Linked DNA regions of Arabidopsis thaliana. The protein of the gene in region 4 interacts with the protein of the main gene of each other region in a biochemical or structural test. Each region holds a gene or a part of one and is shown on either strand. Other genes may lie near its edges.

The links.
Region 1: of the proteins of KEG (region 4) and ABF3, one has a biochemical effect on the other in vitro, tested with the Arabidopsis thaliana proteins (one study listed by BioGRID).
Region 2: the proteins of KEG (region 4) and FDH form a complex in vitro, tested with the Arabidopsis thaliana proteins (one study listed by BioGRID).
Region 3: the proteins of KEG (region 4) and UBC8 form a complex in vitro, tested with the Arabidopsis thaliana proteins (one study listed by BioGRID).

Annotation. Positions count from the first base shown.
Region 1 is NC_003075.7:16,291,932-16,300,125, forward strand, and holds ABF3 (abscisic acid responsive elements-binding factor 3), read left to right. Parts: upstream 1-3,402; 5' UTR 3,403-4,076; coding exon 4,077-4,964; intron 4,965-5,116; coding exon 5,117-5,410; intron 5,411-5,495; coding exon 5,496-5,567; coding exon of another isoform or gene 5,568-5,658; coding exon 5,659-5,688; intron 5,689-5,959; coding exon 5,960-6,040; 3' UTR 6,041-6,354; downstream 6,355-8,194. Other genes in the region: EMB2758 (Tetratricopeptide repeat (TPR)-like superfamily protein), read right to left, coding at 1-681; DJ1C (Class I glutamine amidotransferase-like superfamily protein), read right to left, coding at 6,622-6,837, 6,917-7,054, 7,278-7,478, 7,707-7,784, 7,888-8,067, 8,157-8,194. UniProt on the Arabidopsis thaliana protein: Binds to the ABA-responsive element (ABRE). Mediates stress-responsive ABA signaling.
Region 2 is NC_003076.8:4,773,426-4,781,146, reverse strand, and holds FDH (formate dehydrogenase), read right to left. Parts: upstream 4,415-7,721; 5' UTR 4,105-4,414; coding exon 4,018-4,104; exon of another isoform or gene 3,521-4,017; coding exon of another isoform or gene 3,501-3,520; exon of another isoform or gene 3,414-3,500; coding exon of another isoform or gene 3,389-3,413; coding exon 3,214-3,388; intron 3,087-3,213; coding exon 2,546-3,086; intron 2,457-2,545; coding exon 2,219-2,456; intron 2,071-2,218; coding exon 1,957-2,070; 3' UTR 1,621-1,956; downstream 1-1,620. Other genes in the region: AT5G14770 (PPR repeat protein), read left to right, coding at 5,444-7,721. UniProt on the Arabidopsis thaliana protein: Catalyzes the NAD(+)-dependent oxidation of formate to carbon dioxide. Involved in the cell stress response.
Region 3 is NC_003076.8:16,672,563-16,679,562, forward strand, and holds UBC8 (ubiquitin conjugating enzyme 8), read left to right. Parts: upstream 1-3,279; 5' UTR 3,280-3,328; exon of another isoform or gene 3,329-3,491; 5' UTR 3,492-3,509; coding exon 3,510-3,573; coding exon of another isoform or gene 3,574-3,579; intron 3,580-3,920; coding exon 3,921-4,057; intron 4,058-4,219; coding exon 4,220-4,324; coding exon of another isoform or gene 4,325-4,459; exon of another isoform or gene 4,460-4,517; coding exon 4,518-4,661; 3' UTR 4,662-4,947; downstream 4,948-7,000. Other genes in the region: AT5G41690 (RNA-binding (RRM/RBD/RNP motifs) family protein), read right to left, coding at 5-122, 203-252, 430-499, 588-611, 709-797, 883-1,000, 1,070-1,137, 1,261-1,347 and 2 more. UniProt on the Arabidopsis thaliana protein: Accepts the ubiquitin from the E1 complex and catalyzes its covalent attachment to other proteins. Mediates the selective degradation of short-lived and abnormal proteins.
Region 4 is NC_003076.8:4,341,756-4,349,506, reverse strand, and holds the start of KEG (protein kinases;ubiquitin-protein ligase), read right to left. Parts: upstream 4,306-7,751; 5' UTR 3,890-4,305; coding exon 3,147-3,889; intron 2,321-3,146; coding exon 1,967-2,320; intron 1,887-1,966; coding exon 1,656-1,886; intron 1,475-1,655; coding exon 1,349-1,474; intron 1,251-1,348; coding exon 914-1,250; intron 758-913; coding exon 600-757; intron 262-599; coding exon 104-261; intron 1-103. Other genes in the region: AT5G13520 (peptidase M1 family protein), read left to right, coding at 4,936-5,931, 6,056-6,289, 6,374-6,700, 7,097-7,390; EMB3136 (Ribosomal protein L10 family protein), read right to left, coding at 7,551-7,751. UniProt on the Arabidopsis thaliana protein: Mediates E2-dependent protein ubiquitination. Acts as a negative regulator of abscisic acid signaling. Required for ABI5 degradation, by mediating its ubiquitination.

The DNA.
Region 1 (8,194 bases), on a different chromosome or scaffold from region 4:
ACAATACCCAGAAATCATTGCATTCCAAGAACCCATATCTCTTACAGGCATTTCATCAAACAGTATACGTGCATTCCCCACAGCTTTATATCGAGAGTACAAATGAATCAACGAGGCAGCAACATAGACATCCCACATAAACCCAAACTTCAAAGCCAAGCAATGAATCTTATTCCCATCAATCACAGTCCTACAAGCTTTCAAAACCGAAGGAAAAGTCCTGTAATCAGGTGTAAGTCCAGAACTCAACATAAAGAGACTAAAACACCTAATCACTTCTGAAGAATTTCCCGCACGGCCATAACCAGAAATCATCAAATTCCAAGCGTATACATCTCTGTTCTGGATATGATCAAACGTGTGCCTAGCCAATGCGACATTGCCAAGGTAACAATAGAGATTAACAAGTTTAGCAGAGATACAAACATTTTGGATTTGTTTGGAGACAACGAGACGTGCGTGGAGACATTTGGCTGATTGCAAATTAGTGCAATATCTGAAAAGTGTGTGAACATCATCAATCTCTTTACTTTCATTCCCATTTTTCCAACAGTCTTGCAAAGCATTTGCAGATGCTGAAAATTCTCTAATAACTGATCCGATAGATTGCAAAACTCGTGTAAAGCGCCCACCTTTGCAGGTTGGAATTTGTCTGGGAAGTGAAAAGGTTCCAAATTTCATCAAATTTTCGAGGGAAGAAGAGAAATACTCAGAGAAAATCTATACATTTATATATATACCTCAACATACATGCAATTCAGGTGTCTTGAAAACTTTCGACGATTCCCACCAAAAGGTTTCGGTTAGCTTAGAGAAGTAGAGATGAGAGACTAAAAGAGATGGTATAATCGGGTTGGTGATTTTCGACGGTGAATTGAAGAGTCCGCCGGAGGGTTTAGCGACGGCCGTCAGCTTTTCTTCTTTGATTGCGGTTTGTAATTTAATTGAACCCGGTTTGGTTTTGTAAACCGTGCGGTCTAAAGCACTAAACTTTAAGACGAGTAAGATTAGAGCCCAATAAGGCCCAAATAGTTTGGTAGCTTGGTTAAGCCCAAATATATAGCCGTTGGCTAGACGCCTAGACGGAGTTTTTTGTACTGACCAATAGAGAATGGCTTGCAAGAGGGAAACACATGATCTGAACCAAAAGTATGTTTGTTTGTACACTTGAAGCGTATTTTTAGCATACGTTTGCTCAAGCAGGGCCAATAATTGACAATAAAACCTTCGATCCACGTGATTTGGATTGCGTGTTAAGAGGTGCAAAACAAATCTTCGTGCTCACATTATTCGGGCTATTCACTTCACATGCATTTGACTATGACAAATGACAATAGTTCTTTTTAAAAAACAAATCAAAGGAATAATACGTTTATTAGACTTCACAATCTTGCTATAATGGTCCCTCTTCAAAGCTTAGAGAATTTGTAAGATAACAAATTAAGATTGATTGTATTTGGGTAATAATGACTACCTCTTTTTGGCTTTTTCATTTATATAAATACTTGGAGTTCACCTCCTTACAACAACTTGAAACAAATCATGGAGCTTAACTCCTACAAACATGGAATCATGGAAAAGTGACTTTAGTGGAATACTCCACATTATTAGCAATGAAACAGAAATGCGAGAGACTTAGTCAAGTCATGACCAAGTCCTTAATCGTATCTTGGATTGGGCTTGCGCAGACGTTTGGGCCGAACGTTGATGTTGGGCTGAATGTCCTCATCATGCTATGCCTCATAACTCATTCCTCAAAGCTTTCTTCTAATCATAATTTATTTGTTTTTTGTTTTTTTAATTTGCATCGTGAGGTCTTCTTTTTGATCCAATCAATGGACCTCTTTCTAAGAGTTCAACTACTCTTAACAACTTTAGGTCTTCTAGACACATAGAAAGTAATAAATATATATGGGCATGACACTAAGGTTTCATTCTTTTTCTTTATTGTGGTTTAGGTTTTTGATCTAATTTTGTTATTGTAAGAATTATTTTGTAATTTTGTTATTATCTTACCATGGAATTAAGAAAAAGTAAATTTCTTCAAACTTACCCTGTTGTTGCAACTTACATATTAAACTCTCTCTTTTTTGTTAAAAAAAGGTTATATATCTTTTAACCTTCTAGGATTTTAGCCTAGCTGAAAAAAAGTTACACATTAAACTTGTTTTTGTTAACAACGTTTTAGCATTTCGGTTGTGTGTTGTTTCTTCCGGTTGTTATAGTTTCGTACTTTCGTTGGTTTTGAGTTTTGGATTCTTGAAAGGTGGTTATAATTTATACATTTTGTTTCTACACGACCTTAAAGAAGTAACTTCAATTAATTAAATCTAATTCGGGAAAGAGCACGTCTCAAAAGAGTCGTCGAGTCCCATGTGAATTCTATATGATAACATTAAACAAAATCACGGTTCCATATTTGTTTAATACTAGTATGTATTGCAGAGTAGACTTTCCTAATCCAGTAGATTCTTAAAGAAAAAATAATATAAAAAGATTGAAAATAGAAATAAAAGATGGGAGACACGAAGGGTCACTTGTATTGTACCGAGTCCAAATGTAAAGAAGTCTCAATAATGGTGTAATAAAATAAAGAAGTTGAAGACAAGATCACAATCACCATGTGAAGATCAACACACAAGATCATAATTTTATTGTATGTTTGCTTCATTTCAACTTTTTTAAATATTGTTAAGAGGGCAGGCATTGAGTGCGCCACGTGGCAAATGACCATCCCTTTGTAGGTGCAGCAAACGTGATAAAGATTCCGGACTGTTCACCCATTCCCTTCTTCCATTTGTTTCTTATTTTTTCTTACAAATCTTATCGTATCATAATTTTTTTTCCATAATGCGCTCCCTTGAATGGAATAACGTTGGTTATTTTGTTTCCAACCAAATTTTCATACCATTCGATCAAATAGGTGCATCAACTTACAAGAAATGAAAGTGTGATCCCTATTTTATTAGGTAGCTAAGTAAGTGTTAGTGAACACTACGTTAGATTGTTACTCAAATAACGGATCAACGAATCTCGTATTCATTACTATACTGCTAATGAATGCATCAATTTTAATTTTTATTGGTTATCTATCCTTAAAAAAAAGTTATAAGAATATTTTGATAATTTGTTCCAAGATGTAGTACTAGTAGTAGTACTTGGTCTCGTAAACGACGACGCCGTTTAGGAAATCAAACGGCCAAAAATGCTTCCACTTTGCGAAATTTTATTGGTGGGAAACGCAAATGTATCGATAATGATTTAAAGAAAAAGCGGCGTTTCTAATTGGACCACGTTGCCCAATCTCTACGGCTCACGCACGATCTGACGTCAAATTGGCATAATACTATAATAACCTTATCGAGAATAAAATAATAGTCGCATCCAAACAAAAGAAACCAACCCTTTTATATCACGACGAGTGTCACGCCATGGACACTTGTCCATCTCTCTCGCTCTGACCCCTTTCAGGTATCTTTTATTTCTCAAAGAGGAATTATTGATTTTCCATTTCCAAAGAAAAAAAATAAATTCGAAGGTCAGGAAAATTAACAAAAAACTTCCTTTTTTTTTTTGTTAGTTTGTGTGACTGAGCTGCTTCATTTTTTTTCTTTCTTTTTTTTTTTGGTTTGATGAATCGATTTTTGTTGTCTATTACTGATTGGTTTTCTTGTTCAGATTCACTGATTCGAAGAGAATCATGATTTTTTTTTCCCGCTGAATAATAAGCATATGATTGGGTGTTTTGGAGATTTGTTTACTGATTAAAAGGAGATTCCTTTCCATTTTCACCATTTGCTCTGTTTGACTTCATTGTGCTTATATTTCATTTAGATCTTTTGTTTGGGTTTAGCTTTGGAACTGATAAAAATCTGATTTTGTCTCACGGCTTTGGATTTGGTTCTTAAATTTTGGTACTTTAAAACTGGATAAAGATCAGTGCTTTTTTAGATTCTTCGTTTGTTGATGAATTTATGGATGTATGTATAATTAAACCATAATCTCTCTGCTTGTTTGTTTTCTTATAGGTAAATATCCAGAAGCTTGATCCTCCTAGTTGTACGAAAGCTTGAGTAATGGGGTCTAGATTAAACTTCAAGAGCTTTGTTGATGGTGTGAGTGAGCAGCAGCCAACGGTGGGGACTAGTCTTCCATTGACTAGGCAGAACTCTGTGTTCTCGTTAACCTTTGATGAGTTTCAGAACTCATGGGGTGGTGGAATTGGGAAAGATTTTGGGTCTATGAACATGGATGAGCTCTTGAAGAACATTTGGACTGCAGAGGAAAGTCATTCAATGATGGGAAACAATACCAGTTACACCAACATCAGCAATGGTAATAGTGGAAACACTGTTATTAACGGCGGTGGTAACAACATTGGTGGGTTAGCTGTTGGTGTGGGAGGAGAAAGTGGTGGTTTTTTCACTGGTGGGAGTTTGCAGAGACAAGGTTCACTTACCTTGCCTCGGACGATTAGTCAGAAAAGGGTTGATGATGTCTGGAAGGAGCTGATGAAGGAGGATGACATTGGAAATGGTGTTGTTAATGGTGGGACAAGCGGAATTCCGCAGAGGCAACAAACGCTGGGAGAGATGACTTTGGAGGAGTTTTTGGTCAGGGCTGGTGTGGTTAGGGAAGAACCTCAACCGGTGGAGAGTGTAACTAACTTCAATGGCGGATTCTATGGATTTGGCAGTAATGGAGGTCTTGGGACAGCTAGTAATGGGTTTGTTGCAAACCAACCTCAAGATTTGTCAGGAAATGGAGTAGCGGTGAGACAGGATCTGCTGACTGCTCAAACTCAGCCACTACAGATGCAGCAGCCACAGATGGTGCAGCAGCCACAGATGGTGCAGCAGCCGCAACAACTGATACAGACGCAGGAGAGGCCTTTTCCCAAACAGACCACTATAGCATTTTCCAACACTGTTGATGTGGTTAACCGTTCTCAACCTGCAACACAGGTGACTAAAGAACCTAAGCTACTACATTTTGTAGGAAATACAATCATCTGAAAAATATTAGACGTAGCCTTCATGTTTTAAGATAAGCTGGTTTTGGATATGCATGTATGTTTCAGTTATCTGAGCATGACTTGTTTTTACTTTTTTCGCAGTGCCAGGAAGTGAAGCCTTCAATACTTGGAATTCATAACCATCCTATGAACAACAATCTACTGCAAGCTGTCGATTTTAAAACAGGAGTAACGGTTGCAGCAGTATCTCCTGGAAGCCAGATGTCACCTGATCTGACTCCAAAGAGCGCCCTGGATGCATCTTTGTCCCCTGTTCCTTACATGTTTGGGCGAGTGAGAAAAACAGGTGCAGTTCTGGAGAAAGTGATTGAGAGAAGGCAAAAAAGGATGATAAAGAATAGGGAATCAGCTGCAAGATCCCGCGCTCGCAAGCAAGTGAGTGTTTGTTTAAATTTTGGAGATTAAAGAAACCTTAAAACTGTGACCATGTTATTTACTTTTTCACTTTCTTGCTTGACAGGCTTATACGATGGAACTGGAAGCAGAAATTGCGCAACTCAAAGAATTGAATGAAGAGTTGCAGAAGAAACAAGTGTGTCTCGCTTCTTCCCTATCACAATTAAGAATCTCGAGATTTTCATATTTTCTTGAGGTTGTATTCACTGACCAAATGTTTCATGCAGGTTGAAATCATGGAAAAGCAGAAAAATCAGGTACTGTCTTGATTTGAATATCCTCTATGGTTGTTGGCTAGGCTTTTAACTCTCACTCATAATGAATTACACTTTTGGACAGTATTCTAAGCTTTTGAGTAGAATAGTGTAAGCTATACCATGAAGTGAGACATATCATCACATTTTTGATTTCCCACTCTGCATAAAGTATTTAAGATTTGTGAATATGTTGCAATGCCAATTTGGATATTTCATGAGACTAATCTGACGAGCATGGATTTAACGGAAGTTGGCTCATTTGTTGTTGCAGCTTCTGGAGCCTCTGCGCCAGCCATGGGGAATGGGATGCAAAAGGCAATGCTTGCGAAGGACATTGACGGGTCCCTGGTAGAGCTTATAATGGCGTCTAAGGAACCCAACAAAGCGCCGAAGTTATAGAACAACTCAGAAGATAGAAAGCTAGCTTTGTACGTAGTTTAGGCAGGTTCTGTGGGTGATTGTAAATCTTGAAGTGTGGCGGATTTGACAGAGATAGATAAACACATATCTGTTCTATTTTCCTAAATCTTTTGGTTTTATCTTCCTGATGTAATGGATCTTTATCATTTGTCTTGAACATCTTTGTGACTTAACCAGAGTGAATTTATCTTGTATCTTGTCTGCAATTTTTTCTTTAGCTCATTTGGGCCCAAGTCAACACCTTTATTATAGAAGAGAGTAAACATCAAGTTTAGCATCAACATCTGGTAATCCAACTGGGCGTACAAAATTAGATACACATACTAAATTGGCAAAATTCTTGCAGATAGCATCCCGCTTCAGGATAAGGTGCATCAACGTTGAACAGATGATACTTGTGAAAAGTCTCTGGAGTTGAGGTGGTTTGATACCATCGGACCGTTATACTTCGGTTTAAGATCAGTAATGAGACATCTTCTAACTGTGTTTCTTGAACAAGATGCTTTCAAACGGTTACTGCCTTGGATACTCATGCACAAGCCCTTCTGAAACACTCCTTGCTCTAGCATGTCCGAACAGCTTGCTAACAATAGCCAGGGAAAATTTGGTAACAGTTGCGAGCCCCAAACTTGTAATCACGTTTCCATCTATAACAACTTCGGCTCCTTCGATCATTTGTTGATTCATAGGCTCGTCTGACTCTGAAGGATACACAGTCGTTCTCTTCTCCTAAAATAGGATTCCAATTGTTTATGGCGTTTGTCCATGTATATGACAAAGAAAAGAACAATAGTTGTCTTCACCTTACCTTGAGTAAACCATGTTTATGCAAAACGGTAGATGAAGAGTTGGTAGCTCCATATATTCGCCCAGATTCATGTTGTTCCCTGAGCAGTTTCTTGAGAATTTTGGACTTCTGCAGACGTTCTGAGCCAGTATGGCCTCCCTTGGGAATTTCCATCAAAGAAAAGAAATCATATTACTCACCATGGAACAACCAACAGTTGTAGTTTGTCTAAAAGCTTTTCCTAAGCGCATTGATTTGACATGGCATATAAGTTATACTGAAACATGTACATAGCAAGATTTATTTAAGAAGAAGTAAACTAGCGAAATGGTATGAGTTTATTATGAGACTAGGACATGCAGGGTTTTGCTTAAAGCCTTACCGGAAGAATGATTAGATCATATGATGACTCAGCAGCTTCACCAATCAATTTGTCAGTGATAATTTTGGTGCCTTGGAATGCCGTAATCCGCAAAGATCGTTCAACTGATGAAACCGTGACATCTACTTTGGCTCTTCTAAGAACATCTGCAATTGAGACCAGTTCAACCGCTTCAGACCCGTTGGCTACCGGGATAAGAACCTGGATTTAGATGCATCATTAAAACAAGTTTCTCAGCTTTCAAACTAAAATGAAATGTTCTTAGAATCAGCTAACTTTTTCATCTTTCAAAACTAACTGAGCGTGAAAGGAGAAGGAATGGATAAAAGAAAAAACTCCATAGGTATAGAAGATAAAACCAAGATCAGTTCTCATCATATATCATGAGATTACATGGAAATGCATTGATCATAGCTTCATGCGACTTACACGAGGTGTGTGGTCTAAAGACCAGTCAATGCTATTGAACTCTTTGTTCTTAGGATTCTGGTAACCATCACGCAGAAGCTGGAGAAATGATTGGAAAAGAAGACTATGAGAAGATTGTTGCATATCGAGAAGGATAAAGAAAAGCATGATCCAGAAAAGTATAAGTGAATAGGATATAGACCAGAAACTCTTCAATTGACTTGGCTGTGGTTTCTCCGAAGAGCTGCTCCGCCAAGGAAAGAGCAAACTGGAAAGAAGTGCCGGGTCCACGGCTAGTTGTAAGCTCCCCTGAAATCTGAATGTTTGTCTTAACAGCCCAGAATGTAGGAAGCTTCCCGAAAAAAGCAGGATGTCCCGTTGTCTTGCACGATGAACTACACCAAGTTTAGAAATCAAAACATGAAGAGAAAAGATTAGTTACTAGATGACATCAAAGATTTTGATTTATACCCTCTTTCTTGTCAAAAGTCCCCATGGAAGAAGAGTAA
Region 2 (7,721 bases), 430 kb from region 4:
TAATTAAATCTTAATCACATAAAAATTAGCAAAAAAAAAGTATTCAACAATTAAAAAATTATCAAATCTCTGTGTTATATAAGTTTTGATACTATATTCGAATAAAGTGTAATATACTTTTTCAATTTGTATTCTTTAACTAATTTAAGCTAACTAATATATTTGTTTTTTTGGTGGATTGGGGTAAAAGTGCATTCGGGTCATATGGTACATTCTCCTATTAAATAAATATGGTGCACTTCTATGTTATTAGCTAAAATATTTAGATTATAATTCAGAGTCATATCATTAATAAAATTAATATTAATAAAATAAATTGCTTTTTGGCAAGACGGATTTGAAGGGACGGGTTTTTGAATCAACATTAATAAAAAAGTAAAATATAATTAATCCACCATTTCAATACGAGTTAAATCTTTAATTTGTTATCTTTTAAGATCACTAATATTAAACATATCAAATCATTCTAATTTAGAAAAGATTATATAAAACCAAAAATGTTATGTGGTATGTATAATGTTACTATATATAAAATTAAACTATAAAATTTAAATATATTAGAGAATGATACAATTTGCAAAACTTTTATATATAAAAAATAATTCTTAAAATTTAAAAATTACTACTTTGAAAAAAAAATAACGAGACGGATAAAGAAATTAAAGAACGGGTTTTATTTTGGAATTGGGTTATATGGTGGATGTATTTGAATCAATATTTATAAAATATTAAAATATTATTAATATGATGTTTTAATAGGGGTTAAAACTTCAGTTTTTTAACAATTGTCTCATGGATTCGTGGTATAACGTTACTTAATAACAATTATAAACTGTAAAATATCAATATTTTATAAAAATAAAATTTGCAAGTTTTAATATATATTACTTATAAAAAAAAAAATTGTCCCGCGGTATACCGCAGGTTAAAATCTAGTAATAATAATATTTGGTAGTAGCAGGTTGCATAAGGTGATATATTCAAAACGAAATAACGTTGCGATTATGCGTATCTTTACTATGTTAATCTTTACATAACATAACATATGTTAATCTTTCGTATGTTGTAATCAGCCATACTATATAATGAATGGGGAAATCACAAGCTATGTTCAAGACTCTAATATAATGGGACTCTACATATATAATGGTTATTCTTAACATTTTTAGTTAGTTTTCTTTCATAACTATGCTATGCATATCTTTTATCAAAATTTCATCATTCCGCTTGTGTTGTGAATCAAAAACTTATAAAACATGATGAGGAAAAACCATACACGTGAGATAATGCAGTGTGGGGGAAGGGGCAGATTTGGAAAAAGGCAAGAAGTTGGCTGTCAACATATCTGAATCTCTAACCACTGTTTGATCAAATTACAAATCGAATGATTAGCATCCCCACACCCGCTTCTCCCATCTTGAGAAAATATGAAAACAGTTTTCTTTATATTATAGACCTATAGTTTTAAATACGCATATAATAATATGGGATTCATAATTGATATAGTTGTTAAGAACTTAAATATTGATACAAATATGGACCCACGTTCCATACAATGATTCAAATATTGTCGTAATGTTGTAGTTACACCATTGTCGGTGTGTGCATCAAAATCTGATAGAGCTAGGTCCTAATAACAAGAACACTTTTCTTTAGACAAATTTAATATGCCTTTATTCATTTTTATGTTTATATAATGAGATTTGAAACCATTGAGTTCCTACGATTGGGGAAACAAATACATATGTGTGATTTAAACCACTGAGTAATATGTTCACAAACTCTCAGAACAGGGGAAGTGCCCTCCTATTATTATTGTGCTTATATAATAACAAAAACTAAACCAAAAGATGACTCAAGTCATTCGACTTAGCAAAGTCCAAATACTTCTTTATTTGTTTTCTTGAACGTTGGGGTCGTTTCTCATCATCTTCCCAATGTCACCTCCTCAAAAGCTTACCGGTACTGAGGAGCAAGTTCACCGTCCTTGACGATGTAATTCTCAGTAGGGAAGTCTTCTCCCTTGAAGTATCTCTCCAACATGTCTTTCGTCCCCGCCGCATACCGTAGCTACAAATTTTGATCACACAAAATGTTTTAGTTCCAAATTTCCAACATTACTTTTTGGATAAAACAACACCTTTTCATTCGTTAGCAAAAGTTTCCAGAGAAATTTATGCATATGATATGTGTAACGGTTCAAGGAAAACAATATAACCTGAGCGTCAATGGTGGTGCCGGAGGTATGAGGGGTCATAGCCTGGTTAGGCATGTAACGCCATGGATGGTCCTTAGGAGCTGGCTGTGGGTCCCAAACGTCTCCGCTGTACCCTCCAATGTGTCCACTCTCCACCGCATCCACCACTGCTTGCCTCTCCATGATGGCTCCTCTTGCGTTGTTCACTATCAAAACGCCTTTCTTCAATTTCCCTATCAACTCTTTGTTGAACATTCCTCTGAATAAACAAGAACCCATTGGTCAAATCTCAGAAACAAAATCTAGTTAGTGTTCGTCTCTTTTTGTTTCTGATAGTAGCTGTGGTACCTTGTCTTCTCCGTGAGAGGCATGTTGATGACTATAACGTCACATTTAGGGAGCATTTCATTCAGATCCTCAACGAACTTAGCTCCAGTCTCTTTCTCCAGCTCTGGTGCCATCTGAAGCCTGTCATGGTACAACAAGTTACACCCGAATGGTTTCAACCGCTGCAGCAAAAGCTTTCCGATTCTTCCAGCTCCCACGGTTCCTATCGTCTTCCCTTCAAGATCATAAGCTCTGTACGCAATGCCCGCGACGTTCCACTCGCCTTTGACGACCTGGTTGTACCCTGGTACGAAGTTGCGCATGAGGATTAAGATTCTCATGAGCTCATCTTCTGCCACTGAGACCACGTTGCTTCCCGTGACTTCAGCAACCGTCAGGCCAGCAGCTGCAGCTGCCTGGAGATCAATATGATCCGAGCCAATACCAGCTGTGAGGAGAAGCTTCAAGTTTTTGGCTTTCTTGATTCTTTCAGCAGTTACATACGCCGGGTGGAAGGGAGTGGAGATTAGGACGTGAAGATCCGGGATATGTTTCTCAAGTTCTGCCATTAATAAATAAGAGTTGAATCAAAAGGAGGCTTGCATTCATATTTATAGTTTGTGCTATAGAAAAACAGAATTAAAGATTTTGAATCTCTTCAAGTACTTGTTAGATTGGAAAATACTTACCGCAATCAGGGCCTTCCTTGTCATCAGTGACGATGTACTGATGTCCTTGGGATTCAAGCCAGTCACGGATTCCTAAGGCATTCTCGACGCAGCCAAGGAAGTTAGGGTTCTTGGTAGCGTATTCGTTGGCCTTGTAGAAAACTCCTACAATCTTTTTGCTATCACCAGAAGATGCCTGTTTCATAAGCAAGTTCAAAAGGCTATTTAAATTTTAACATATACCCGATTCAAAGAAACATGAATACATATATAAGAACAAGAAAAGATCCGACGCATGTAAGAACTACCTAAAACTCTGAAAAATCATCAAAAAGTGCGTCTTCCCATTACACTGAAAGAGACAACATCTTACAGTAAGACACTAATCTGTTCTGTTTTGAAACTATATACAACGCCCAAACGTTTACAGGCCCGTTTAGAAGCCCATATCAAACATCGTGCCGTTTAGTTATTACAAAAAGAGACACCATGTAGTAGTTGGGTTCCATTATGGAAACTTTAGCTGGCCTAATCAGAAACGACAGTTGTGCTTTCCTAATTTTAGTCACACGTTTCAGTCATGCACAGTCAGTCTGATCATATCACAACAAAATCAAAATAGGTTCTACAAAACCAAAATTTGCATATCCTCAAAATCATAAGGCCAAAGATCCAAAAACATCTATCCCACACACAATCGGAAACGTTACCAACCGCAAACAGTAAAATCAAGCGAAATCACCACACAAAACTCTGAGAAACTATAAATATCACCAACTTAGAACCTTAATCGTGAAAAAGGAGAGAGATCGAAAGAATTATTACATTAAACTGACGTCGAGCGAAGTAACCCGAAGAAGAAGAGGAAGAACAGGCCCTGATCGTTGCCTTAGCGGCTTGTCTCATCGCCATGGTTGAGAAGAGATAAATATCAATTTGGTTACTCTTTGGTCGATTTTTGTTTTGTGTGAAATCAGTAATTGGAGATGAGAGGATTTATATAGGACGAAATGTTCACGCACCTGCACCAAATCATCCTTTTCTTCGGACCAGAATAGCTGTGCCACGTGTAAGACGGCTCCATAGACATCATCGTTAGACTTTAATTATCGTACTTATGTTACTTGACAAGTACTGTTAGACAAAAAAAATCCTTGAATTCTAAGGAAATAGTTACTAATTCATGTATAAGTCTATCCTTTCCTTGTTTAGAAAAGCTGACTGTAATGTCTATTTAGTTATATTCTTTTACTTTCTTTCTTTTTGGTAAGGTTCTTTTCCTTTTTAATTGATTCCTCTCCATGATATTTTCACACTGACAAATCCAATTTTACCAAATTTCCATTGATACAAAGTGTATAAACCAGAATCAAAGATTTCCAAATATTTTAGAAATCATGTTTCTTCTTCAACAAAAAATAAATCAAATCCTTTTTTAACATATTTTCTAACAGGTGATAAATATTAAATACATATGTATTTACATAAATTTCCAACAAATATAATAATAATTCAATTTATACTAACATCTAAAATGCAATAATGATAGTGGTCCCTTTAGTTGTTTGTTAACGTTATATGTTTTGGATAAGTACGTCGTGAAATAGCATCGCATTATTATTAATGGGTGTATTGGCAAAATAGTCACTTTTTCAAACTTAATTAGGAAAGTAGTCACTTTACTATTCATAATTTGCAAAGTAGTCACTTTTCACTGTTTGATTCGTACACTTGGATTACATCACTTTTAGTGTACAAATGTAAAGTGTACGCTGTGTATTTTTTATATACATCTGTACACTAAAAATGGTGTACAATCTAAGTGTACGAATCAAACAGTGAAAAGTGACTATTTTGCAAATTATGAATAGTAAAGTGACTACTTTTCAAATTAAATTTAGAAAAGTGAGTAATTTGCAACTTAACCCATTATTAATCTATCTCCGAAATAGCGTCGTGAAATAGATTTTTCCGAAATCTTATCTCCGAAATGTATGAAATATGTTTAAACGTTAATATGTTGGGCTTATTTTAGATATAGCCCAAAAACAGCCCATGTATTTAGGGCCGTTATTATTGAGTCTTTTAAAACGACGTGGTATTACCGAACTTAAACCTCGTCGTCGAGCTTCGAAACTCTTTTTCTCAGTTCACCTGGAAAACGATGCGTCGTCACAAGCAGACGCCATGAGAGCTTGCAGGAGTCTCTGGAGAAATTTGGAGATTTAGATGAACTCCAATCTATCTGCTGATGATAATGATAAGGATTTGGAATAACTATAAGGGTAAATACAGATTCTTCCTCTCAAATTGCCGCTCTTTCTCGTCAATCAAACGACCCCAAATCCCAGAAAGCGAAGAGACTAGCCTCTCGATCACACAACGAAGATTCGACCCAGATTTAGCTCCTATCAAGACTAGAGTTTACGTCTCTCTCTTCCATACTCTCTTTCGGCTCTATTTAAGCTGTGAGAGACTCTACGGAGCAGCAAGGACGCTCTCTGCGATGTGCACTTTCGGGGTTGTTCCGGATTCGCGTCTATGGAACAGTCTGATTCATCAATTCAATGTCAATGGTTTGGTACACGATCAGGTATCGCTGATTTACAGCAAGATGATAGCTTGTGGAGTGTCTCCCGATGTTTTTGCTCTCAATGTATTGATTCATTCTTTTTGCAAAGTGGGTCGTTTGAGTTTTGCAATTAGTTTACTTAGAAATAGAGTAATCAGCATCGATACTGTTACTTATAACACTGTGATTTCGGGTTTATGTGAACATGGTTTAGCTGATGAGGCTTATCAGTTTCTATCTGAGATGGTGAAGATGGGTATATTGCCTGATACGGTTAGCTACAATACTCTGATTGATGGGTTTTGTAAAGTTGGAAACTTTGTTAGAGCTAAGGCTTTAGTTGACGAAATCTCGGAACTAAACCTTATCACTCATACTATACTCTTAAGCTCCTACTACAATCTCCATGCTATTGAAGAAGCATACAGGGATATGGTTATGAGTGGGTTTGATCCGGATGTTGTTACTTTTAGTTCGATTATTAACCGATTGTGCAAAGGTGGAAAAGTGCTGGAAGGGGGATTGTTACTGCGGGAAATGGAGGAGATGAGTGTATATCCGAACCATGTAACTTATACTACTCTTGTTGATTCGTTATTTAAAGCAAATATTTACCGCCATGCTTTGGCTCTTTACAGTCAGATGGTTGTGCGTGGGATACCTGTAGATTTAGTTGTATATACTGTTTTGATGGATGGTCTGTTTAAGGCTGGGGACCTTAGGGAGGCTGAGAAAACATTTAAGATGCTTTTGGAAGATAACCAAGTTCCAAATGTGGTTACATATACGGCTTTGGTTGATGGGTTGTGCAAAGCGGGGGATTTAAGCAGTGCAGAATTTATCATAACGCAGATGTTAGAGAAAAGTGTTATTCCGAATGTTGTAACATACTCTAGTATGATAAACGGCTATGTGAAGAAAGGGATGCTCGAAGAAGCTGTTAGTCTTTTGAGAAAAATGGAGGACCAAAATGTTGTGCCGAATGGTTTTACTTATGGTACAGTAATTGATGGCTTGTTTAAGGCAGGGAAAGAAGAAATGGCAATTGAACTGAGTAAGGAAATGAGGCTGATTGGGGTGGAGGAAAACAACTACATACTTGATGCTCTGGTGAACCACTTGAAGAGAATTGGTAGGATTAAGGAAGTTAAGGGATTAGTCAAAGACATGGTATCTAAAGGAGTGACGCTGGATCAGATTAACTACACATCTTTAATTGATGTATTCTTCAAAGGAGGAGACGAAGAAGCTGCTCTTGCTTGGGCTGAAGAAATGCAAGAGAGAGGGATGCCGTGGGATGTTGTTTCTTATAATGTCTTAATCAGTGGGATGTTAAAGTTTGGCAAAGTCGGAGCAGACTGGGCCTACAAAGGAATGAGAGAGAAGGGTATAGAACCAGATATTGCTACATTTAACATAATGATGAATTCACAAAGAAAGCAAGGGGATTCGGAAGGTATCCTTAAGCTTTGGGATAAGATGAAGAGTTGTGGAATAAAACCGAGTCTGATGAGTTGCAATATTGTGGTTGGAATGCTATGCGAAAACGGTAAAATGGAGGAAGCAATTCACATATTGAATCAAATGATGCTTATGGAGATCCATCCTAACTTAACGACATACCGGATTTTTCTTGACACGTCTTCGAAGCATAAAAGAGCTGATGCTATATTCAAAACGCATGAGACGCTATTGAGTTATGGGATTAAACTCAGTCGGCAAGTTTATAACACTCTTATTGCAACTCTGTGCAAACTAGGTATGACGAAAAAGGCAGCTATGGTTATGGGGGATATGGAAGCGAGAGGCTTTATTCCTGATACTGTGACGTTCAATTCCCTTATGCACGGGTACTTTGTAGGCAGTCATGTAAGAAAAGCTCTTTCGACATATTCTGTGATGATGGAAGCAGGAATATCCCCAAATGTTGCAACCTATAATACTATAATAAGAGGTC
Region 3 (7,000 bases), about 12 Mb from region 4:
TCACCTTTTTTGTTTCGTCAGCAGAAGCAAACTCAACAAAGCCATAACCCACATGCTTACCTTCATGGTTTACCATAAGTCGAATACTTACAACTTCTCCAACACAATTGAAGAAATCGAAGCTGTAAAAGTGGAGGGTAGAATATCAGTCATGAAAAGACTTGCCCCGAGAACGAAAGTGGAAATTAAAAGTAGTACTTACATATCTGATATTTTAGTTTGAGGAGAAAGATTGGCAACAAAGAGTACTTCCTGAATTTAACAACCAAGTGTGTTAGCACGATTTGTAAGGAGAAAAAGATTTTCATTGCATAACAACAAAAAGTAGCCTCATCTGAAGACTCATTCCCAAATAAGTCATCTTTCGACTTTGTGGCAACAGTTCTGTTATTAAGCATGACTTATTTTGAAGGTAATAAGAACAGGTACCTCAACAGAATTAGGAGGTCTCTCATCTTCTTCTATTGGATGGCTTTCTAGTCTACGGTAGTCTTTGTCCCTGGAATATCAAAAACCCTTGTGATCTCTCCACGTATACCAAAAACTTCACCTAATGTGCTCAAAAGGCAAATAGTATAATCCCTTACCAAACCTTGTGATCTATGCAATACCTAATTAGCAAAAAAATAATATTGGCGTTAGTCTTTACTGTAATGGCATCAAAACTCTAGCAATGAGTTAAAACCAGTGTTACATAAATCAATTTACTTGGGTGGAAGGTATGTAGCTTTCTTATTAGCCACATCAAGAAAAATCTTATTATTGTCTAAACATTCACCGTTCTTCTTTTGCAGCGCCTACAACAAAAAAGATTTAATCAGCAATCCTACTTTCAAATAACTACTCGTACAATTTTTCATCATTACTATAAAAAACCCTCACCTCCTCTGCTTCATTAACAGAAGCAAACTCAACAAAGCCACAACCCACAAGCTTACCCTTGAGGTTTACAATAAGTTGAACACGAACAACTTCTCCAACCTTTTTGAAGAAATCGATGCTGCAAAAGTAGATGATTAGTCATGAAAAACTGGATCCGAGAACAGAGGAAATTAAAGGTACTACTTACATATTTGGTATTTTAGTTTCATAAGGGAGATTGGCAACAAAGAGCGTCTTCTCTCTTACTGCAGCTTCCTGATTATTAACAGGCAAGTCTTAAATTGCATAACAAACCGAAAAAAAGTAGCTTAATTGAACATAAAACTTGTACAATACATGTAACAAACAGTCCAACATTATAATGATCAAAAATTAAACCTTGACTGAGATTAAATTAGCCTGATCAGACTTTGTCACCAACAAGTCGTTCTGCTGGAGACTAAAAGCAATAGCTTTCGTTGTCACCTGTTGTTACATGAGTAGCCGCAATTAGAAAAAGGCAGAGTAAAGAAAATTGGTCTGAAAGAAGAAGAGGAATCCGAACATATGAGGTTTACCTTCTTCTTGTTTATTTTCTTATGTCTCTTGAGAATTGGGTTGGCCTCCAAACCATATTGCGGGTTACGCTTACCTAAAGGAAGAGTAGCAAAAACTTCTTAGAACCAAGTAAGTTGGTATAAAACAACATTAGATAAGAGATCATAAACCACCAAAAAAACAAACCCTGGGAGTTAGATTTGACCATCACGGAGAAGATGAAAGCAGGAGGTTTAAAGGGGTTTATGTCTTCTTTCCGGGAAGAGTCCGTTGAGCGCAAGCAATACGTTGTAAAGTAAATAACCCTAAGCTACGTTTTATTTATAGAAAACAATCAAAGGAAATGTTTTGGTTTGGGCTGGGCTGGGCTTTCATTGTACCTGCTTAAGAGGCCCAAGGCCCAACATGCTTCTTCTTTTTCGTCTACCTCCAAATCAGCCCAGTGTGTTTGTTCTGGAATTCATAATTCATAGTTTCCGATTAAAAAGCAAGAGACCAGGTACAATCTCAACCTGTGGATTGCATGATAAAGATGATTTTAATCGGAAACCGTAACGATTCAAAATTGAAACAAAAGTATTCATTGAGGATATCAAAATTCGATAACCTAACGCATGTGTCTCGAATTAGAGAAATCAAATAGTGTTTTCTGGGCAAAATCAAAACCAATCGACACAAATCGATCTTTTGCGAAAAAAATACTAAAAAGAAAGGCAAACCCGTGTAAACTTCATCTTAATCTCATGAGTAAGAGTTTCCAGATAAGCATATCTCCGTGATGAAACTTTCTCCATTCCATTACCACCACTGATTGAAGATGCGATCACCGGAAAACAACCCAAAAAGCAAACACCGTCTCCATCTATCGGTAAGGAGAATTCGAGAGATTGATCACAGAGTAAGACGAGAGACTCTTTCGATTAATGCTCTCATTGTTCTCATCTGAGAATTCCCATGGCCACGGCAAATTGTGGTAGCGGCGGAGGAGAAACGGTGAGAGCTTGTTGCGCATCTCAAAAAGAATGAATACATAAACCGAACTATACCGACCCAAATTGAAATATAGAAACTGATATAAACCGAACTATACCGAGCCAAATTGGAATTTTTGAAATTGGAATAAAACTGAACCGAGCCAAATAGTCTCGCACTCTCACCAAACCCAGTTATCTTATTAAATTTTCACCAAATCCAGTTTATCTTAATGCATATCCTATCTTTTCATTAGTCCATAACTAATTCGTTGATTATTGTTCATTAGATATTTGCAGTAATACAAATCCCACTATGACAACATGATGACTCGCATAATATGACATTCAACTATTGTGAGATTACAAAATTTAAAGATATTTTACTTCTTTTTTTTCCAAAATAAAATTTACATTCTATTGATAAAATGTAATTAGTATGGATAAATTAGAATCATAAAACATTAGTTTGAGATAGAGATTTAAAATAATCATGTCACAAAAACTAGATAAAATTTCATTAATTATGATTGGTTATCTGGTTTCATTTTTTATTTTTTACAAAAATATAATCAGCCGTTCATATCTCTACACTTGGCTATAGAAATAGAGAAATATCAAATATGTACCAAAGAGGACAATTTTACAATTGAAAATTCATCGTGATTCAGAATCATTTGGAATCTAAGTGGGGTCAAATCAAATATAGCCCACCCTTTATAATTTCTTAAAAAAATTAGATAGTATTTTAAAATTATAATGTTTACAGATATTTCTTAAGCAGCCATTATTACTAAAATAAATCATAGTTTATCCAATTAAATTATTCGCTTCCGTTTCTTAAAGCATAAAAACCAAAACTTTCTCTTTCGTTTTGCTTTCTTCCAATCATCTGCAGGAGTGAATCGCAAAACCAAATTTGGAGGATTCTTTCTGAGGTATCAAAGCTTTCTCCTTTTGATTAACCCACACGAGAAAAAGCTCTCTTCTTTTGTAGGAATTCAAAAAGCTCGTCTCTTCTTGTTCGATTCAATCAGATTAGAAAAAGTTTCTGGATTTGAGCTGGATTGATCTAGGTTTAACTTGGATTACTTTTTGTAGGGGTTTCTCAGTGAGAAAATGGCTTCGAAACGGATCTTGAAGGAGCTGAAGGATCTCCAGAAAGACCCTCCAACCTCCTGCAGTGCAGGTTCACTTCAAAAATCTCAAATCTTTCTCCTTCTTGTTGGATCCATTACTTTATCTATGATTATCTGGTAATATGCCAGAGATTTAGCATTCTAGAGATCACAAAGGTGAAAGTTACTTTTCAGACTGATCAGAGTTGAGAAATGTAGAATCCTTCTTTGCGTTGTGGTGTTGTCTACTTATGTTTTGGCTTATGTTTATCTTAAGATTTTATGATGAATTTCAGTTTATTAGTTTCTACTTTTCTCTAATTATTAGACTAATCAGAGTTAGAAGAGTTGAGAAATGTAGAATACTAGAATCCTTCTTTGGTTTGTGGTGTTTTTTTTGCTTATGTTTTAGTTTTTGCAGGTCCAGTTGCTGAAGACATGTTTCATTGGCAAGCTACAATTATGGGTCCTGCAGAGAGTCCGTATTCAGGCGGTGTGTTTCTCGTTACCATTCACTTCCCTCCGGACTATCCATTCAAACCACCAAAGGTATTCAATATTGGAACAACTCTTAGATTACCACGAACTTTAGGTTTAGTAGAGTTCCTTGAAATTCTTGGACCTAATTAAAACTTGTATTTGCCCCCAAATCAAATCAATTTCTTGGCTTAATCTTGACACTTTTATTGGTTGTTTTGTTTTTATTTGCAGGTTGCATTTAGGACGAAGGTGTTTCACCCTAATATCAACAGCAACGGAAGCATTTGCCTTGACATTTTGAAAGAACAATGGAGCCCTGCCCTCACCATTTCCAAGGTGACTCTCATTTTTCAGAAACATCGGTTCTCCAATGTTCGTTTATGTTCCAAAAGTATAGCAAGAGCATCTACATTTTCAGCTAGGATTTTGCTCAATGCACAAGCTTTGCTTCTTGAATGTTTGTGTATGTAGTAAGATCATCATCTCTAGTTTTTAGCTGTTTTAATGGAAATGTTTATGCAATTGGTAGGTGTTGCTCTCGATATGTTCGCTGTTAACAGATCCAAATCCAGATGACCCTTTGGTACCAGAGATTGCACACATGTACAAAACCGACAGAGCCAAATACGAGGCTACTGCAAGAAACTGGACTCAGAAGTATGCCATGGGCTAAACAAAGATTCGTATGCTTCAGCACCTGTTTATGTTTTCATGTCTGTTTCTTTCTTCTTCTTGTTTTAACTTTAATAAAAATGTCTAAAATATCAACTTTTTCGTCTGTACTATATATGTTTATGGGTTTTATTATCATCATCTTTATCTGAAATTTGAAGATGGAATTCTAAAGCTTGAAGGTTATTTGTTAAAGTTTATTTACTAGTGAGTGATGAGAAACATTGTGTTGTTGTTCATTTCATTTTTTCTTTGTCAGGAATATTCATTGACTTGTTTTCTTTCCCAATATTTTATTTTACCACAAATATGTAGCTTATAATCACTATCTCGTAGACACACCGTCGTTAACTACGAGAAAAAAAAGAACAGACCATTTTACCAAACTGTTGTCTTTTGCCGACGAAGTCACCGAAGCCGGCGGCGGAAGAAAAGGTAAAATTACAAAAACTCTCTTCTGCAAAGTGACCATTTTTCACAGTGCTAAGTACAAATTTGTAGTCTTTAACCTCACTCACAGTTCATATATGTCGCATTTTGCATCAACAACAAAAAAAAACCTAATCTTTAGGGTTTATTTCTATTTGAAGGTTTTGTGGTGTTCATGGATACAAGAAAGATTCCGTTGTTCTGCTATTGGAATGGTTGTATTAAAGATGGTCCTGATGGTCCGTTCTATGAAGGGTCAAGTCCAAGAGGGATCAGAGTTGATAGCAAAATCGAACTATCCAATTTGTTGGATGATCTGCATCGACTTACTGGTTTTGAAAAGGGAAAGTTTCAGATTGATTTGATTGGTAGGTACCCTTCCATTGTTCAACAACAGATGGTCAAGTATGTGCGTTTGCCCATTGTGGACGATTGTAGTTTGGAGATGATGCTTGAGGTACCATGCTACCATCCATCTATCAACAGTCTGGAGGTGTATTTAGAGATCAAACCGTTTTCTGATGAAGTTACTGTTTCTATATCTCATCAGTCCCCATTGGAAAGTAATGTGCCCCGAAAGCGTTATCGGCAAGAGGATGCTAGTAGTGTCAATGCAGATGTAAATGTGAGTGGGAGAAATACTAAACTAGGAAGTCCTCCGGAGGATAACCATAATGGTTGGATTGAAGATGAGGAGAGTACGGATGTCGGAAACTCTGGTGATAATGGGGTCGCACAGAAGGATTCGAAAATGAAAAAGCCAACTCTAACGGAAGGCGTCAGTGATAGTGTCTCGAAGCAGTTGATTTTCTCTAGTTCATGGCTCGATGAAAGTGAGTTGCATGTTGGGATGATTTTTAGAGGTAAAGATGAGCTGGCGAAAGCAGTGAAGTTGTACTCTAATAGAAGGCAACGTGAATACAATGTATTCGAAATCCCCATTACGGGTACCTTTCAATCAGGGTGCAAGAACTACTGTAGATGGTTTCTCAAGGCAGCTAAAACGAATGGAAATGGCTTCAAGATAACAGAATACACAGGTCCACATGCTTGTAAGCCAGCAGATGTGGGCTCAGATTTCCTGGCAGGTGAAATTGAATGTCTAGTAAAGGTTCAGCCCTCGCTCTCAATTGTAGAGCTGAACAATTGGGTGAAAGAAGCATTTGGCTACACAGTCTCGTATGCTAATATGTGGAAGGCTAAAAAGGAAGCGATCTCTGCAATCTTGGGAGATTTGGACAAGAGTTTTAGCGTATTGCCCAAGTTCATGGCTGCCCTTGGCTCATCTAACAAGATGCTTTTGGAATGGCAATATGATCTTTTTCCTGATCCCAAAAATGCATCCTTTCGTTCTGTGTTTTGGGCGTTTCAGCAGTCAGTTGAAGGGTTTCCTCACTGCAGACCTCTCATTTTAGTAGATACAGTAGACTTGAGTGGTAAATACCCTGGAAAATTGTTGGTTGCAGCGGGATTAGATGCCGAAAACAGCCTTTTCCCACTTGCGTTTGCCATTACTACCCAAGAAGATTTGTCAGCTGATACTTGGCGTTGGTTCTTTTCGTGCATCAGAAAGAAAGTAACGCAGAGGGAAGGCATTTGTCTAATTCTGTCTTAGGCAACTTGTATCTTGCTAATCTTTGATCACCTGGCAGAGCTTTTCAAACTGCGACATGGTCTTCTCCAGGAATCAATGAAAAACAGAAGAGAGGTCTATGCTAAACATGTCATGACAAAGCTTGAAGAGTCTATAACACACGATGTCCTGCCATTAGACCAGTCTGGACAGAGGTTTCAGGTCACGGAAGTGATGCAAGTTGGAAACATGAAATTCTTTGTTCATCGCAGCGATCGGGCTTGCACATGTGGGATATGGCAACTTTACAGATATCCGTGTTCGCACGTGATAGCGGT
Region 4 (7,751 bases):
ATAAAGATAAAACTTCGTAAAGATCCTCATAAAATATATCAGATATAGTCATACTTCTACCAAGCAATTCACCAAACAAAAGATACTACGATTTCATCATTACCCTTTTCATGATCTTTCCTTATAGAAGCAGCCATACACAGAGCAGTGCCAACTGGGCTTGGGATATTAATTGCCTGAGAAATTTCTTCTGGACTGGAAACTTCCACCCATCTCTTGATAACAGCAACATTCCATGTTGCTACACACATATGTAACGGTCTGAAACAAACATAAAAGTATAAAGATCTGTAGCATAAAACATCAGAAACATAGGTTTACAAAATGAAATATGCTTTCCTAAGAAAGAAAAGAACCAAGGTACACATTAAATGGTTCAGCTACCTCATTGTGACTTATCCAAACAGGTTAATGTAGTAGACATTTTTAAGCACATACAATGCTCAAAATAAGTTATAATGTAGATGCAAATAGGAGTATAAGAACTACAAAATAAAACCAAACAGAACTTGCTTTAAAATGGCCCAGTAGTAATCTATCCGTGCCAAATTTTATGGTCCCGTCTACCTAGCATAGAAAGAGGTCATTTCTGTACTTACGTCAGGCACTTCGCATTTGAAACAGTCATTGATCTAGATCCCCCATTTTCCAATATAACAATGGCACAATCTGTGTATTTCTTGGCAACAGCTCGATGAAGCACAGTTTCACCTTCATCATCCACTGCATTTGGATCGGCTCCAGCTACCAGCAATTCCTATTGATAGTACCAATTAGCAGAGAATAGTTATTAACATGATAATAGATATAAGACAAGCATAATATCTGATACACTTCACATAAGTGGAAGATTTGCGATCATGTTGTGGAAGCTTTAAAGTGACTGATAGCTTCCTCGGGAGCAGAGACTTACACGCATACAATCAGGTTGGCCATGGTACGAACACACGTGAGCTACAGATGGGCCAGATCCTTCCCGCAGTCTGGACCTCACATTAGCCCCCTTTTTAATGAGAACGTGAACACATTGTGGAGATCCAGCTGCTAAAGCAAAGACAAGAGGAGGATCCCCATCTTTGTCCACGATATCTACATTAGCCTCCCCATACTCCAGTATAGCCTCCACAAGTTCAGCACTGCCACGTCTGCAAGCTAAGTGAAGAGCCGATTGACCATCAGCGTTTTGCGCCTCTAATAGAGATCGCACAGAGCTTCCACCGCCTCCAGCTGCAGCCTTTGCAAGTATATTTCTACTCCAAAACAAAAATCAAACCAATGTAGTTGAGAACAGGTTGTTTATAGCTAGTGCGAACAAAAGGATTAACTAGAATTCCTAACAGATACTAACCTTACACCCTCAAAGTCTCCCTCCAAAACAACCCGATGTAGGTTGTTAGGGTTATCCTGAAAGACCCCTATGTTAGTCGCGCGAGGTGCTTGTACAATGTTTACTTCACATATTTTGGCAATCCCACTACATCATACATGGTTTATATTATTGTTAGGCGAAGGAATATAGGCATGATGACAAAAATAATCTTAGGTGTTGGTGCTAATATTAATCTTAACACAAGTGAAAGGGTCTTCTTTACTGACAAGCAACGAAAACAGGGAAACCATAAAACTAAGTAATCTTAGGGACTTAAAACTCTTACTTATCAGGGCTTGCTGAAGGGCTACGTGGTATCTCTTGTAGATGACGAAGAAATGTAGCAAGCATTGCATTAAAGGTTGGTCTTTTCGACGGTTTAAACTGAAGACATTCACCAATCATTTTCCATAATTCCCGAGGAATTCCCACACCCACTATGCGTTCATACTGTGGTGGTACTTTTCGGGCTTTCACAACAGCTTGAAAAATTTCTTCTCTACTAAGACCATCCCACCTGTAAAATTAAGTGACAGTTAGTACAATGGCAGACACAAAACACAACTGAAATATCAACTAGGAAGAGGCTTCACATACGGAGTGGATCCAGTGCACATCTCTACTAACGTACAGCCAAAACTCCATGCATCTGATTCTGGAGATACACCACTTGCATCCTCCCAAAAAAGTTTTTTCACCGGTCCCCAAGCCTCTGGGGCAGTGTAGTGTGGACTGAGTGTTACACAGTCCGTGTATAGAGTGACTTTTGAGGAATCAAACTCTGGTCGAGTTTTCTGGCATGTTGGCTTCTTTAGGATGGGAGCGAGCCCATAATCAGAAACCACAGCATTGCCGCTTGCATCCAAAAGAAGATTGGAAGGTTTTATATTCATACAGATAACACCTGCTGCATGGAGTTCTGCAACCCCTCGAGCAACATCAGCCCCATATCTACAGTTGGTAAAATTTAATATCACAACAAGAGCAATGGAATAATACATATGTTGGTCACTGAAGGAATATTCTAAGTTGTAAACTTAAAACAACATGAGCACGATATGAAAGGAGAATACAAAACACTCATTTACGCATTAGTGCTTACATTTAATAGTCCCAAATGACGCAATTCAGTTAAAAACAGAAAATAGGAGGAAATACAAACAAGTGAATTGAAGGTAATATTAGAACCAGGACAACAAAATAAGGATCATCTTTAGATGATGCGTCCTTTGATAAATTAATGTATAACAATTCGTACAATTTTTTGCATGATTTGATATGTCAGTTCGTTGAAAAATGATTTCTGGTCATATACTTTAGAAGGAAGCATACTAATGTAAAGGGCTTTCTCAAAGATATCTTGCAAACGTAGGTTCAAGGATCCACTACTAAAAAGGAAAGGACTAGTCCAAAAAATGTTTGTCTATTGAGGCATTGACAGATGAAAAGTAGCTGCAGCTGGTAATGACAAAGAGAGATGACAACTACTATAATTCGTGCCTAGCTTTTTAAGAACATCTAAACTAAAGTTATCTTACAAGTTGCCCTTTTGGCAAATGACACCAGGTTTTAGTTGCTTGTTTCACTAGAATCTGAAAAACTGTGCACTTACAATATATATTTCTAATAGCAATCACAAAAAACCAAGTCGGGTCTAGTCCAGTAATTTCTAATTAGGGAACAGGCTATCAAAGTTTGAGACTTTAAGCACAGAAACGATCACAGTAAAAGCCAGATACTAGGCAAAAAAAAAGAATAAGAGAAGCAAAAGAGGAACCTTAGAATCTGCTCCAAAGTAAGTCTGCCTTCATTGCGTTGCATCTCAGACTGAACAGACCCAAAGCACCTGTCCATCAAAAGACAAAGAGATCCATCCATCTTCACAACCCCATGGAAAGTACAAACATTCCTACACCACATGGATGCTCTCCGCAAGCTCTCAAGCTGTCCCTGCATCCACTCAACATCCATGTCCTCCGTCAAAGTCATCTTTTTCACCGCCACACGGTGCTTACACCGTCCACCACCGCCTGCAACAGTTGCATCCCACATCTCCACACCTCCAAAACCACCACTACTACTCTCTTCCCCAATCTGCCTCACCAGCTTCATCTCCGGGTGAGCTCCGACCTCGATCACTGGACCACACAAGCTATTAATCGAGCTTGAGGCATGAAATCCACGAGCGGCACGAGCTCCATCTTCATCACTACCATCTTCTTCATCGTCGTCATCCTCATCATCCGTGTAATCGCAATCGAAGTTAGCGCCGCCGGATGCGGCGTGAATGAGAGCAAGCATAGCGTAGTTCTTCCTGAGACCCTGAACAGAGTTCCCAACAACAGACACGTGGCGACACCGGGGACAAGTGAGGGTTGTGTCGGAAGAAGTAGAGAACATCTTGGAAAGACAATCTTTGCAGAAGCCATGGCCGCATTGAAGCAATAAAGGAACTCTCTCATCTTCATTATACCGCGTGTGGCACACGGAACAACAAGGGACCTTGACTCTCCCAACCATGAGAGCTCCGAAAAGAGAAAGCCCTAAATTAATTTAGGTCGCGAGATCAAAGAGTAAGAAGGGAGTGAAAGACCAATCAATTCAGTAGAGAGAGTTCCTCAGAACATATCTGGGGGGGGGGGGGGGGGAAGGAAACTCAGTAAAGTCGATCCAGATCAAGGAGAGAAGAACAGATCCATGGAGAAGAAAGAAAAAGGTGGAATTTTTGAAAGGTAGATCAAAATTGGCTGGGAAAAATCAGACACGAGCAAGCAAGAATAAAAATTGTAAGAAAAATGTGAAAAAGGTTCTTCTTCAGGGTTTTATATCATCATTTTTATTTTTATTTTCATTTTTTTCCAATTTTATTTGGGGTTGAGTCTCGAGGGCTCTCTGGTTTCGTCGGTTTTGACGGGTGGGTGCCGTCAGCACTTGTGCTCGAACCCGTTTATTGACTCTCCTAATAGTAGTAATCGTCAACCATCAGATTTTATATTTGTTGTCATCAACAACTTAAACCATCAGGAAAAAATAATTGTAATTTTTACTGAGAGTTTTTTTTTTTGGCGAAGTTTTTACCAAGTAGCTTTTGAGCCAAATGCAAAAACAAATAGATTGTTTGATCTTGTAATAGAGTTCACCAAATAATGAGACGATAAATCTGACACCAATACCAAAATGTAAACTCGTTGTTTGTTGCTAAGTAGATTACTCGTGTGAGTGTATAACTCATGGACCTAAAACTTGAAGCTCAATAGAGGCTCAAGCCCAAAAAGATGGTTGTTAAAAATCTCAGGATTGTTGGTGGCTTGGTGTGCTTTTGGTTCATCCAACTTGGGTTTAACATTGTATTTAGTCGCCGTTTAATATCTAACGGTTTCAACTTTATGCACTAAATGATTCTCCATTAACCAAATTATTCCAAAAATACATTATTTATCATCATAAAATGGTACCATCGAACAACAATTCTTCATTTTTTCTTTTTCTCCCGCTTTATACTCTCTTCTCCACCTCTCTAACTGCCCCTTTCCTCAAAACCCTAAGCAAGCTTCTCTCACTCAGCAATGGCACCCATTGATCCACACTCTTTCACCGATTCCTCTCATCCTCTCACCACGCATGTCGCTCTCTCCCTCTACCTCGATTTCAACACCTCCATAATCCATGGCTCCGCTCTCCTCACTCTCTCCTCCGCCTTCTCCGGCGAACTCTCTCTTGATACTCGCTGCATTTCCATTGCTATGGTCCTCGATCCTCTCACTCTCGAGCCTATCCCTTACTCCGTCTCCACCACACCGGATCGAATTCGGGGCACCGAAGTTGTCGTAGTCCTCTCCGGTCAATCTTCACTGCTAATTGTCTACTCCACTTCGCCTTCTGCTTCCGCTCTCCAGTGGCTTTCGCCGCTTCAAACTTTCTCCAAATTGCATCCTTATGTCTACACGCAGTGTCAAGCGATTCACGCCAGATCCATTTTCCCATGCCAGGACACTCCTGCCGCGAGGATCCGTTACGACGTCGTTATGAACATACCGAATTCGCTCTCTGCCGTCATGTCGGCTCGCCACGTCCGTCGTAGGCTTGCGGTTCCTGAGGAGGCTAAACATCTCGAGGCTGGGTCGCTGGGGTCGTCACTGTGGTGTGGTGAGGATAGAGTTGTGGAAGAGTTTGCTATGGAACAGCCTATACCGCCTTATCTATTTGCTTTTGCCGTTGGTGAGTTAGGGTTTCGGGAAGTTGGACCTAGGACTCGGGTATACACAGAATCTGCCGCCATTGAAGTTCTAGATGCGGCTGCTCTGGAGTTTGCAGGAACGGAGGATATGATCAAGCAAGGGGAGAAGCTGTTTGGAGATTACGAGTGGGAGAGATTTGACTTACTGGTGCTGCCTCCGAGTTTTCCTTATGGAGGTATGGAGAATCCAAGAATGGTTTTCCTGACGCCTACTGTTATCAAAGGAGACGCCACTGGAGCTCAAGTTGTAGCTCACGAGCTCGCACATAGCTGGACTGGGAATTTGATCACTAATATCAACAATGAACACTTCTGGTTGAATGAGGTAGCTTTGAATTGTCTTGTGCTTTTGCTTCTTTTAGCTACAAATTAGGATGTGTAACTGTGTGTCCGTTTTTAGAGTTTGCCTTGTTGATGGGAAAGTGTTTATTTCATGTTCATGGCAATAGGGATTTACAACTTACGCAGAGAGGAGAATTGTGGAGGTTGTTCAAGGGGCGGATATAGCTACTTTGAACATTGGCATTGGTTGGAGGGGTTTAACTGATGAAATGGAACGGTTTAAGGACAACTTGGAGTGCACTAAACTGTGGAACAAACAAGAAGGTGTTGATCCAGATGATGTATATTCTCAGGTCCCATATGAAAAAGGATTCCAATTTGTGTTGCGAATTGAACGCCAGGTTAGTTGAATTGCCCTCTTCGCTTAGGTGTTTTGTTATGTAATGTTTACAATAATGGTCATCTATTTACTGGAAAACTTTCAGATTGGAAGAACTGCTTTTGACGAATTCCTCAAGAAATACATTGCTACTTTCAAGTTCAAGTCAATCGATACAAACACATTTCTTGAATTCCTGAAAGCAAACATCCCTGGCATAGAGAAAGAGATCAATCTACAGCTGTGGACTGAGGGCGTTGGTATACCAGAGGATGCATATGAACCAGTCTCAACCATTTACACAAAGATCATATCCCTGGCGAAAGAGTTTAAGGAAGGAAAGATGCCAAGTGAGGATGATGTTGCTGAGTGGAACGGACAGGAATGGGAGCTGTACTTGGAGAATCTTCCTAAATCATGTGAACCTTCTCAGGTACTCTTTACTCCTTTCTTCCTCTAAGTTAATGGGAGCTGTACTTGGAGCTGTACTTGCTGAGTGAATCTTTATTTCTTCCTCTAAGATAATGGGAAATGGCTTGACTTAGGTTGAACTACTCAATAAGCTTACATAAGGAGGAGAAAAAGGCCTAACTAACTGTCAGTTAGGTTAGCTCAATAGTTACTCTTGGATTAATGTGGGGCTAGTGAATAATGATTGTGGAAAAACCCTCTTGGCTTTGGGAGAGTTCATGATTGTGGAAAGTGTATTGGCTTTGCAAGAGTTAGGATCTTATCTTGTTTGTTAATGACAATGCTAGTCAACAAAGGAAGGATTGGTGATCAGGTTCAAACCTATGGCTAACACCCACTTTGCTCATTGATGAATCAGGTCATGGCCTTGGACAAGCGGTACAGACTGGCAGAATCGAAAGACTATGAAGTGAAGGTCTCGTTTCTGCAACTTGCAGTCACATCCAAGTGCAGAGAGTACCATGGGGAAGTGAAGAAAACACTAAAAGAGGTAGGAAGGATGAAGTACCTGCGTCCACTCTTCACTGCTCTTGCACAATCTGGTGGAACAGAAGAGAAGCAGCTGGCAAAACAGGTGTTTGCAGAAGCTCGAGAAACTTATCACCCCATAGCTCAGGGAGTTGTTGAATCTATCCTCTCTAAGTACATCTAAACAAGACCGTTATGATAGCTTGAGAGCACTCCGAAAAACAACATTTCAATAAAACTCAGTCACTGTAATAACAATTGGTGCTTGAGAGAGTCATAAACAAAAAATTGAATTGCCTTTTGTTGCGTACATTACATTCTCCAAAAGATTAGTACAAGCTTAACTATGCATTACTCTCATCTTCCAACTTCTTAATGTAAGCCATAAGCACCATTATAACCTCTCTTGCTGGTGCTTGTAAAGTAGTGACGAGATTAATAGCCGGAGATTGCAGAGCACCGAGCATCTTAGCGTAGACCTCAGCACGAGTGGGCATGGTCTCGAGGACTTTGAAATTGTCAGGAGCGTAGAACTTACCTTCGAA